3 linked regions of the Mus musculus genome follow. The protein of the gene in region 1 interacts with the protein of each later gene in a pairwise test. Links are inferred from orthologs where the notes say so. Each region holds a gene or a part of one and is shown on either strand. Other genes may lie near its edges.

Evidence for each region.
Region 2: the proteins of Atxn2 (region 1) and Sh3gl2 interact in binary tests that used the Homo sapiens proteins (3 or more experiments, as listed by UniProt). The link is inferred for Mus musculus from reciprocal best matches to the Homo sapiens genes ATXN2 and SH3GL2.
Region 3: the proteins of Atxn2 (region 1) and Rbfox1 interact in binary tests that used the Homo sapiens proteins (3 or more experiments, as listed by UniProt). The link is inferred for Mus musculus from reciprocal best matches to the Homo sapiens genes ATXN2 and RBFOX1.

Annotation. Positions count from the first base shown.
Region 1 is NC_000071.6:121,795,036-121,798,685, forward strand, and holds part of Atxn2 (ataxin-2), read left to right. Parts: coding exon 1-213; intron 214-1,337; coding exon 1,338-1,401; intron 1,402-2,187; coding exon 2,188-2,340; intron 2,341-2,689; coding exon 2,690-2,756; intron 2,757-3,650. UniProt on the Homo sapiens protein: Involved in EGFR trafficking, acting as negative regulator of endocytic EGFR internalization at the plasma membrane.
Region 2 is NC_000070.6:85,376,454-85,380,103, reverse strand, and holds part of Sh3gl2 (endophilin-A1), read right to left. Parts: coding exon 3,620-3,650; intron 2,711-3,619; coding exon 2,577-2,710; intron 853-2,576; coding exon 694-852; intron 1-693. UniProt on the Homo sapiens protein: Implicated in synaptic vesicle endocytosis. May recruit other proteins to membranes with high curvature. Required for BDNF-dependent dendrite outgrowth.
Region 3 is NC_000082.6:7,068,504-7,072,751, forward strand, and holds the start of Rbfox1 (RNA binding protein fox-1 homolog 1), read left to right. Parts: upstream 1-1,331; 5' UTR 1,332-1,495; coding exon 1,496-1,582; intron 1,583-4,248. UniProt on the Homo sapiens protein: RNA-binding protein that regulates alternative splicing events by binding to 5'-UGCAUGU-3' elements. Regulates alternative splicing of tissue-specific exons and of differentially spliced exons during erythropoiesis.

The sequences.
Region 1 (3,650 bases):
AAGTGCTAAGGATAGTTTCATTGACAGCAGCAGCAGCAGCAGCAACTGTACCAGTGGCAGCAGCAAGACCAACAGCCCTAGCATCTCCCCTTCCATGCTTAGTAATGCAGAGCACAAGAGGGGGCCTGAGGTCACATCCCAAGGGGTGCAGACTTCCAGCCCAGCCTGCAAACAAGAGAAGGATGACAGAGAAGAGAAGAAAGACACAACAGAGTGAGTAACCTGGGTCTCAGCACATGCTCTCTCCGAGTAACCTGCTTTAAGGGGTTTTCTGTTCCATAGTAACTGTTACATAGAGCTGGGGTTAGAAATCTGAGCTGAATCTAGTCATTGGGTTCTTAGCATTCTTCCCATTCTGACTTGTTTGCAGCTGTGGGGGTAAGAAAAGCTACTTCTATGGAGATAAGAGTTTAAATTTGAATGCCCTGTCTCGGGGTTCTGGTTCTGCCTAACCCTGCAGTCTGCAAGGACTATTTGCTGCCCCAGTTGAGGAAATGTTTAGTTGATAAGCACATCTTTATAAACCTTATTTCTGTGCATCTGGCATTTAAAAGCACTTAAATAGATAAACTAGTGGGTTAGCCTCAGACATAATCACCACTCCCTTTTTGTGTTCTGGATAACAAAAAAAAAAACTAATTGTACTTGAACTATTTATTCTTGATTTGCAGAAAAATAATTTTACTAGAGCAATGGTAAACCCAAGGCATGTGATTAAAACATTTTGACACATTTAAAATTGCTGCGTATGCTACAGGTGGTGGAAGGGCTTTGTTAACACAGCACTTGGGCATCTGAGGCTGTTGATCCTAAGTTTGAGGCCAGCCTGGATCCATTGCAAGGCCTAATCTTTAAAAAAAAAAAAAAATTAGAACTACTGTGAACTCATTAAGCATTGGTGTTTTATCTGCCTGTCTGTCTGTACACCACACACTTGCTGTACCTTCAGAGGCCAAAAGAGGGTGTCAGATGCCTGAAACTGTAGTTATAGATAGATGGATTAATAAACCCAGTCCTATGGAGTGGCAGCTGTTTAGCTGTCACTTAACCTCATTAGGCACCCTTTTAAGGGGCTGCGACTTACCAGTTGAAATATTCGGTGATTGCTTTTGAGGGATGTGGTTTCTTTGGTTTTCATTTGTTCTCGTATGGTTAGTTTCTTCATCAGATTAAGCAGCAGAGGTGTGTGTTTCAGTAAAGGAGACTGAGACATGGAGAGTTACTCACATCTGCTCTATGTCAGCAATCCTCTGAAAGCTGACGAGTGTGGCGCAGTTGAGAAAGCCGCAGCCCCATGATGTTTCACTGGCCTGCTTGTTGTTTTCTTTCTTTCTTAGGCAGGTTAGGAAATCGACATTGAATCCCAATGCAAAGGAGTTCAACCCTCGTTCTTTCTCTCAGGTAAGCGCTAGCCTTTTACAGCTGGTCTGAAGAGACGTCACTGCGCTCTTCATGGCTTTCTCCTGAGCTCCCATCTGACTGAGCCCAGTTGTAGGACCCTGAGACAGCCTGGCCTCCAGGCTTGTGGGATGTCCCCAAGCTTGTCAGTCCTGCTGTGCCGCTGTGAGGGACAGCTCAGTGTAAGCTCACAACGACTGAGGCTGTCAGGCCAAAGAAGCCCACTCACTAACTACACAAGAGAGTCCATTTCCTCGGGAAGGCATAGGAGAACATGCCTGTATTCTTAGCAAACAGGAGACCGGGGCAAAAGGGTCATGATTTTGTGGTCAGTTTGGGCCACATAGTGAGATCCCCACCCCAAAACACAAAAATGAAAAGAAAAAAATGGATAGACCTTTTCTGGTTCCTTGTAAAATTATTACAATTTTTATATCTTTTTTTCATTGATAAATATTTTAGCTTGATTAGATATGATACAGTGTTGATACCAAATCTGTGTTTATGCCAGCCCTCTAACACTGAGAAATGTCTGCAGCCTAAGTTTTCCCTTTTTTAACCCCTGGAAACTGAATCAACTTCTTACATGCTAGCCTCTGGATGTTTTGTTTGCCTGTTTGTTTGTTTGTTTGTTTTGCTTTGCTTTATCTTTAGAATAAAAAAATGCTAGTTAAAAACAAATAGGCAGAACAATCAGGGAAGCTGCTTTGAATATTGTTTTCATAGATGCTTTTCATCTTGACAGAGTTGATGTTGAATTCTGTTTTTGTTGTTGTTGTTGTTTTGTAGCCAAAGCCTTCTACTACCCCAACGTCACCTCGGCCTCAAGCACAACCCAGCCCATCTATGGTGGGTCATCAGCAGCCAGCTCCAGTGTACACTCAGCCTGTGTGCTTCGCACCCAATATGATGTATCCCGTCCCAGTGAGCCCGGGCGTACAAGTAAGTTCCATGGGTTACAATTTGCTGGACACCATAGCTTGCATTTAGCACAAGTGTCCTAGGTGGGCACTAAGTGGGACACCTGATAGCAAGTAGTGTTAAGAGTGGGCAGTGGGTAGGGGTGGTGTATTGTATCATTAGCATGTGGATCTAAGTTTTAGGATTAATTTTCAGAAAAAAATGACTTACATTTACTATAGGCCAGAGTTGTTCCTTTTAGTTGTGGGTATTAATTTGAATAGCTCACAGGGAATCAAGAAAACACTGGCCAGATCACATTAAAAGACAGTGATAGAATGAATATATTGTTACCATATGAATCTAATGATGTGTTTTCAATTCCCTCAAGCCTTTATACCCAATACCTATGACGCCCATGCCTGTGAACCAAGCCAAGACATATAGAGCAGGTAAAGGTGAGAATAACCCTGCCTGTGTTTGCTTGTGTCTGCATGCTGCATGAGTTTAGCACCTGTGTGCAATGAATAGTTGGCTTCAGCTTGAATTCACAGGGTATGTGTTCACTTGTGATGGCCAACGTGAGTATTCAAGTGATCACATAGTAATCATGTGAGAGAAAAAAATATAAATAAACTTTGTATGTGGTGTGTGGGTATGTGCATGTGTGCACTCAGTATACATGGAGGTTAAAAGAACACTGTAGGAGTTCCTCCTGGTGGGTTCTAGGATCAACCTCAGGTCATCAGATTTGGCCACAAATACCTTTACCTGATGAGCCATCTTGCCAACCCAATAAATGTCCATCCCCATCCCAGTCACCTACACCTTTACCACCCACACTCCACCCTACCCTACCCCCACACAGAGTCTCTCTCTCTCTTACCTTGTAGCCTTGACTAGCTTGGAACTTACTTTATAGACCAGACTTTTGTGGAATTCCTATAAATCTTCCTGCCCCCCCAAGTGCTGGCACTAAAGGTGTGCCCACTACACTCGGCCTTCTTTTTAAAGATGCATTTTGAGGCTGGAGAATTGGATCATTGGTTAAGAGTGCATGCTGCTCTTGCAGAGGACCCAGGCTTGATATCCAGCTCTCACGTGGTGCCTCACGACTTATCTGTAACTAACTCCAGTCCCAGGGAATCCAGTGCCCTCTTCTGGACTCCATGCATACCAGGCATACACACATGTATCAATATACATGCAGGCAAAACACTCATACACATATAAATATCTGTATTTTTTTTCTATATATGAACATTTTGCTAGCGTGTTTGTACTTGTACTGTATGGACACACGGAAGCCAAAAAAAGGCAGCAGAACCCCTGGGACTGGTATCACAGACAGC
Region 2 (3,650 bases), on another chromosome or scaffold:
GAGATTCCTCCAGTGATGAGTACACAAAGCCCTACAAACGTCCCAGATGAACTCTGGGGTTAGATGGTGGAGATGGTCCAGGACAAGAAATCCAGTTATTCAAATCTATACATGTGTGAAATAAGGAAGAAAGCACTGTTCATGTGGCTTTACAGCTGAATGAACTCAACAGAAGTTAATGTCCGAAGCCATAAGTGATAATTTAGAATTCTGGTGATGCAGGGGCAACTTCTAAACCATCTCAGCCATGCCCTGAATGAATCATCAATTCTAATTTATGTATTTTTCTATGAAAATTTCAAGATCACTTCTATGTATTGACAACTTTATAACTTCAGAAACTCAATTCTGAATGTAATTTATTCATAATGCAGGTCATATGCTCTATATTAAAACAGTAGTTTGTAATATGTTGGATTTATATGTGGGTTATCAGAGTCATTATCTCTGCACTTACTGGCAATACTTTAAAATCCATTAAAAATAGTTCTGGTTCAATCAATCTATAAGGATAAAGAAATGAATTCCATTTCCATGTTGTCTGTATGATAAATCACTAAGATAAGTGGCCCCTGTGTGTTCTTATCACACAGAGGAACCAGATGGTATCATGTCACATGATATGTCTTTCAACACATCAGTGCTATGCCTCGATGGTAAAATTAAATGAAAACCCAGAGAAAAGCAGCTTACATCCATCTCCAAGAGGTTGAACATGCTCGACTCGGCGATTTCTTTAGACTCATCGAATTTCTCCAGAGCTTGGCGGAGTTCTTCATCTGGAATCTTGCCTTGTCGCTTCTTCTTATAATCAAAGTCTAAGCGTCGGCCTTCCAGCTTTTTCAGATGATGCTGAAAGAGCCAAGGGCAGGAACATGCTTCCAAAGGACATATTATGGAAAAGACCTTCTTGTACCTCATTTTTCTTACATTCCTAGTAGCTTCCAAAATGTGACTGGCTGAGTTTGAAATTGCATGTCACCAGAGAAATGAAGACACATGTACCAGCAACGCAAATGCTTCTAGTGGCTAACTGTAGAGGGACACCTTGACAAATAATTCAGAATGAGAAACAAGTCACTGAAAGACCAATGTCCTTTTGCTAAGCATTCCCAGGCCAAAGCCAAGTTGAACTATATCTCTTCTCCAAATGACAAGAAGGGCATGTGGATAGGCATCACCCATACCTTCCACCTCAAGAAAATGCTACACACAAGAGCCTGCCAGTCACCTTCCTCGTGAGAAATGGGAAAGCCCTCTTTTCTGAGGTAAAGGTAGAAAAAAATGAAATTCCTTTTTTATTAATCTAGTTTACCAGAGTCACCTAGTATGTTAGGTAAGAATATCTGATCACCTAAGTCAGAAAAGCCAGGCTGAGCCTAGTGATCTGCATCACAACACCTGCCCCATTTGACAGAGGTAGCTTTTAGGGGACAGATGAGTTTACCTCTCCAAGGACAGGTGACACAACTCAGTCACAAACCCAAACTGCAAGGGACCTTGGAGGATCTTCTATCAGCACTACCTCCCCTAACACACACACACACACACACACACACACACACACACACCTGTAGCTTTAATCCCTCACTGTAGTATCTCCATATGGTAAGGTTCATAACCTCTCTAAAGATGAGGATAAGTAGTTTTGTTCTGTTTTGTTTTCCTGAAGATCAACAGTAGTTTCCTTTCTTAATAGCTGTAGCATTCTACGACTAACTGGTGGGAGAAAAAAGTGATTTTTTCCTCTGTTCCTTAGTGTGTATGGACGAGGGAGGAAGAAGAGAAGATAGAAACAGAGTCAGGGGTGGTAGAGAACTGGCAAGATAAAGGATGGGTTTTGTTCTACACCCTGCTCCTCTCACCGCATCTCCCACCCCCAACTAACACTCTAATCCCAACTAAGTGTGCTTTCTTTTGGCAAGGGGGTGCTGTAGAAGCATTTGAACTCACGGCCACTCAGAGGCAACACCAGCTTAATTTATCAGAGATATCTCAGCTTTTCTGTATGTTTCACAAAGCGTGGTTATTCCTTCTAAACACCAACAACAATAAGGAAAATATAAAAATCGAAGAGTAATATAGTAGCTACTTATTTAAACTGATAGAAGTACAACTAATATTTGGGGACCCCATCAGCCTCATCCATCATTAACAGAGTTTAAAGTCCCGGATAAAGGACATCCCTTTGGCTGGGTGGCAGTGATGCAAGCCCTTAATCCCAGCACTACTGAGGCAGAGGCAGGTGGATTTCTGTGAGTGTGAGGCCAGCATGATCTATAGAGCAAATTCTAGGACAACCAGGGCTACATTTAAAAAAAAATTAAGGGGCTTTTTTTTAAGAAAAAAAAAATGGTGGGAAGATTGTTTAACAAGGAAGTTGAAGACAGAGGAACCAATGCTCTGCTCAGGAGCTGCAGGGCTGCAGCTGTGATCCTGGATTGATGGCCCTTGGTCTCCAGTGCCTTTCATCTTATGGAGCTGTAGGAAATTCACGTGCCCTCTTCTGTGTATCCCAGGGAGACTGTCTGGGAAATGAGAATCTGCGTGTGTGTGAGAAGAAGGATCGCACAGACCTGAATCTCCCTCAGATCCTTGTCATGAAGATTCTGAAGGGGGTCGATGAAATTCTGCTTCACTTCCATGTCCAATGAGTCCTTGACCTCCGAGAGCTCCCTCATGGCTTCTCCCACCTCACCGAGAGCAGGACCTGAGAGGGGAAAATGAAGATCTCACACCCTGAAGAATAAAGACAAGCACTCTTTGCAACAACAGCCTTCAAGATGGCTGTGTAGGGATTGCCTCTGTCCTATAACAGCAACAGAGTCTAAGAAAGCCCATAGTGTTCTCAAGACAAAAGAAGTTTTTCTATTTACCACAGTCATTCTGAAAACCAGGCTCCATGGACCCTTTAAAAGGAGGAGTATCCCTCCTTACCAGGAACTGGATATTTTACTCTGAATACTATTTTGCAAGGCTCTCTGTTCTCTGTGATAGGCACTAGTTCTCATTAATATGAGATCAGTTGCAGCTCAATGCTTTTAGCAGAAGCAGATACTAAAAACTGAGGAAAAAGGGACTAGAGAGGTCCCATGTCAATAGGAGTGAAGGCAGAAGGTGCTTGAAGGCAGAAGGTGCTTAGGGTCCTGAGAGCCAGGCAAGAGAGGAGATAGAATAAATTCTATTTTGCCTGGAGCAACAGAATCAGGGATCCCAAACAAATGAGCAGTGGATTAATCCTAGAGAGCCCAGGTGCCAGTGTAGGAATTCACGCTGATTGTGACTGCTCGATCTGCTTTAATACGCAGCTCCTGCCAGATACACCCAGGAAAGTGCCAAGGCATCTGGGCATGTCTGCCGGAACTGTTGTCAAGGCTGGGGTCCCATTAGAGGAAAAGGACAAAAGCTGCGTAGACAAATCACTTTAAACACTGGCAGTCCTAAAATCACATTTCATCCCCCATATATAACATCTACAAGTGAGAATTAAAATATAAGCAGGCTGACTGATGATCTCGAGTTTGCTGTTGTTAGTGGGTTTTGCTTTGTTGTTTTGTTTTGTTTTTTAATCAGCACCACAACCTCCTTGGAGACCTGCAGTATGGCCAAGGCTACTTACCAAAGTTGCAATCATCACCCAGCTCCCTGCC
Region 3 (4,248 bases), on another chromosome or scaffold:
ATCACAGCTGGAAGATACACATACCAGCTATATAAAATCCCTTCACAGATGAAACACAGCACCAGCAAGTCTGCACCTACTCTGTGGCACATTTCTAGATCACATCTCACAGTGCAATGCCAGCTAGACAACTTACCTAGTGATTGTGTGTGTGTGGGGGGGCGGTTTAAACTCAACACTGCTTCCTACTAGCTGCAAAGTGGCTGCCTAGTGTGAGTCTGGATTCCTGTTGGGTACCACTTTGCTTCCTGGGTCTGGGAATTAGCCCCTGCATCCGAGATGTGGAAGAATGGAGCTCAATAACCCACAAAGCTAATTTACTCAGATTTCAGCTATTATTTTGTTACTCATGAATTGCCTTTTCAAACTGAAATTGGGTGAAGAAGGGGTGGAAAGTGAGCCCACTGTTTTGAGACAGTTTCATGTAGCTCAGGCTGGCCTTAAGTTTGCTATACAGCTGAGCTCCCAATTTTTCTATACCAACTTTCTGAGTTCTAGGATTATAGAGGCTATCCACCACATACTGAGTATTCTTAGATAATTTTTGATCAGCTACCCACATGAACCTGCTAGATTTGAGTGTTGTTGTTATGGTTGTTGTTGTTCTTATTTGTTTGGTTGTTTTTGGTTTTGTTCATAACTGTGGCGGAATGGGTATAGGTGTGAAAATGTATGTGCTGTGTTCAAAGGGTGACCTCCAGGTATCTTTCTTTATTGCTTTTTACTTACGCTTTGAGAGAGGGTCTTCCACTAAACCACTGTACATGGAAGTTTCTGTTTGGCTATGCTGGCTCGACAGTTGAGACCCTGCATTCTCCTGTCTCTGTTTTCCCAGTGCTAGGAATGTGTGACACATTGCCTGATTTCTTACATAGGCACTGGAGATCCAAATTCCAGTCCTCAGGCTTATATGGTAGTATACAAACTCACATAACAACCAGTTGCAATTTAGAACTGAAGTCTAGGCTCTGGTGATGATTTTTATGTGGGTAAATGTTTAAGTTCTTTAAGTTGCAACTGATTGTCATGTAAGCTTACACATTTCTATTACTTATTCTCTCTAAAAATCTCATGCAGACCCAGCCCCTTGCAATTTGGCCCAGTTCCTCAGGACAAATGCCTTCTCTTTTCGCCTGATTCCCTGTCACTCCATCTCCCTTGGTCTGAGAACTAAATTAATGAAGAGTATTTGGTTAGTCATGTTGGGCGAGCTGCTCCCAAAATAGCTCCTTCCATTTTGGTAGCTCCGACCGACCCTGCAGCTGCCGCGTCCCTTCCTTGTCTGGGAAGAAAACTTTCACATTAAGAGTTGCTGATGCAGGGTTTTGTTTCCTTTCCCTCTCCGCTGCCTGTGGATGAGCACTTGGCTCCTGACAGAAGTGATTTGGCTCTCGGCTTTGTAGTTGAGAAGAAGTTGGGTCTATAGATTTCTTTCCCCCTCTAACTCTCTATTGATGTGTTCAGCCTTGGAGGGAATAAAGCCTCCATTTAAAGCATGTTGGCGTCGCAAGGAGTCCTTCTGCATTCTTATGGCGTGCCCATGATTGTGCCTGCTGCCCCCTACTTCCCGGGACTGATGCAGGTAATTCATGGCTTTTGCCAGCAAGCAACTTAACTCCAGAATGCTCTAAGTAATAATTGGAATTTTTATGGTTGAGAAAGCAAACACTTTTAATACAGGAAGAGAAAAAAAAGCCCTCGTGTAGTCAAAGGAAAGACAGTAGGAAATCAAAAAGATGGATCACCTTAATCTGGCTATTGACATCTCTCATGGATGAATAAATGGTGTAGTTGAGCTGTATTTGCTTGTATTGATCTGGGTGCTGTTTAACATTCATGCCTTTGCTTCGGGAGGTTGACCAGGGGGCAAAAGATTTGCTCTCTTCCCTAGCTTTCTGAGGGACTGGGTCTCCCAGAGCAGATCATGAGGCTCAGTAACTTATCATGATATGGCTTGCTTAAAGGCTTTAACCCCGGAAACAGAAGGGCAGGAAATACAGAGTGCTGCTGAGGACACCCCACACAGGTTGTTGTTTGCAGAGAAGCTTCCCCTTGCAAATCTGAGAGGCGACCCACAAACAAGAGGGTACACTGAGAATGGTCTCGCTAGGAAGTTCAGAGGTTATTCTGCAAATTCGATGCCAACTGTTTGTATTCTCGGCAGCTGGGGAGAAGTTAGGATGCCTGTTGTTTTGACTGCTAAGGCTATTATTCTGTGTACCGAGAGGTTTGTGTGCTAGCGAGAAATTGGACCTGTTTCTTTGCCTTATTGTACCTCCTTGCTGTCACTCAAACCCACTGCTTCTGGGTGTACGCCTGCAGTTCTCTGGGAAGCCAACATCCACTTGTGATAGAAGTGGGTCATTGTAGGAAGCAAGTGGCTATTTGTTGCTGTTCTTTAGAAATAAGCAACCCTAAGTAATAAATCCTAAATCTCCTTTCTATGGGAAAGGAAAATTAAATATATGCAGTACAACACTTTAGCTTTTTTTCCTGTAGCCCCACTCCCACCCAGCCCTCTCTGAGAGTTCTACAAAACTCTAATTCATTAATGACGACTTCTGTGGAGGATTGAACAAATATTCTTTTTATTCTTTGACTGTGACTGTGACTGTGACCTTCTATTAACTGTCAGAAGCTGGGTGGCAGAATGCACCCAGACGTCAATCCCGATAGCATCAGAACTGCCAATTACCCTAGATGTATGGATACTATTGCTACACTTCTATGTTATAGGTAAATAGACCAGCAGAGAATGGCCCTGGCACCAAGGAAGGGAACTTGTGGCCAGATGGTGACATGAAACTTAGGACTTGAAGGTGAAGCAGAGTAACAGTGCTTTTGGCTTCTGTTGGAAATTTGGGGTGAAGGTCAAAGGCTGGAGTTTTGTCGGCCCCTGTGCTGCCCTATCCGATAAATAATTACAAGCAAATCGCTCATTTCAGTCCGTGCTGATTGATGCTGAAATTGCTTTTGAAAGTTCTCATAAGTTCCTGTTATAGATTAAGTGCTGGTGCAGGAGAATAACGGCACCCACAGAAATGGGTGAATGTAATCAGGTTTAATGGACTCGAGAGCTTGTTGGGAATTAAATAACTATCGATTTGCTGGGATGTTTCTGTCATTACAAAATGCCACTCTGAACGTATTACCCCAATGATAGATGAGAAGACGCTAGAACCAACTGCAAAGCTGGGAAGGCACTATTTCTTCCTCTTTGGCAAAATGTTCAAGAAACATAACTGGTTAGTGTGGAATGGAGCAAGTTATTTTACTTGCAAATGTTAACCTGATCCATTCTCATTTGTTTCCCAAAAGGAAACTTCTGAACTAGTGACCTACAAGTCCTTCTGTGTGTGTCAGTGAGGAGCCTCCGATGAGCTACTGGGACCCACTGCACCCTTCCCCTCTCCTCCACACAGAGCACACTGCAAGGCTGTGCACATGAAGGTGCTAGCCTTCTTGCTGCTTTGTGGAGGCTCAAAGAAACTAAACCCCCTCCCATTGCAGTTTTGTTCTTAAGGAAAGGATGTGGTATGATAGAATAGGTAGGAAATTCTAGTGCCTCTTTACCTTTCAGCTTGCACTTCCTGCCCTAGCTACCTTGGCCCTTAGCTTGAGGAGTTTCACCCCGAGTCAGGAATAAAGGCCCTTTTGCCAGGATTCAGATTTCTTTAGCAACTTAGTGATTCCAGCAAGACAAGAAAATGAAGAGGACTATGGACTCATCTTTGCTAGGATCCCTTGTGCCTGCATAGTTGGGAACAGCATGAATGGTTATGTGCAAGGGCCACTGGCGAGCTGCTTGAGATGCTGTTCACAATTTCACAGTCTTTCTAAACTCAACAGCCAACAGTTCTGTGGCCAAAGATGTTCCTTTTTGAATTGCTGCCTGAGACACTTTTGAAATTCAGGCCAGTGTGGCTTAATTTTTCTGCAGTTAAAGAAAAAATAATTTGCATTTTTTTTAAGTTTTAAGAGAGTACCTGACTCATGCTACAGTCAGTACCTACAGATGTGTCCTTACGTGTCTAGTGAGGTCCCTCTCATGGCCTCTTCTTTAAAGTCAGTCCCATAGTTAACATGGGATTTCCATTCCTACTTTCTGTTTCTCTGGAAAACCAGTGTCACTATATCGTATCCAGGGCACCCTTTATTTTATGGAGTAAACTAAACTTATGGAGTAAACAGACAAATAAGACAAGCATTTTGTTTGTTTTGCTTTGCTTTGCTTTCCTCTAACTACAT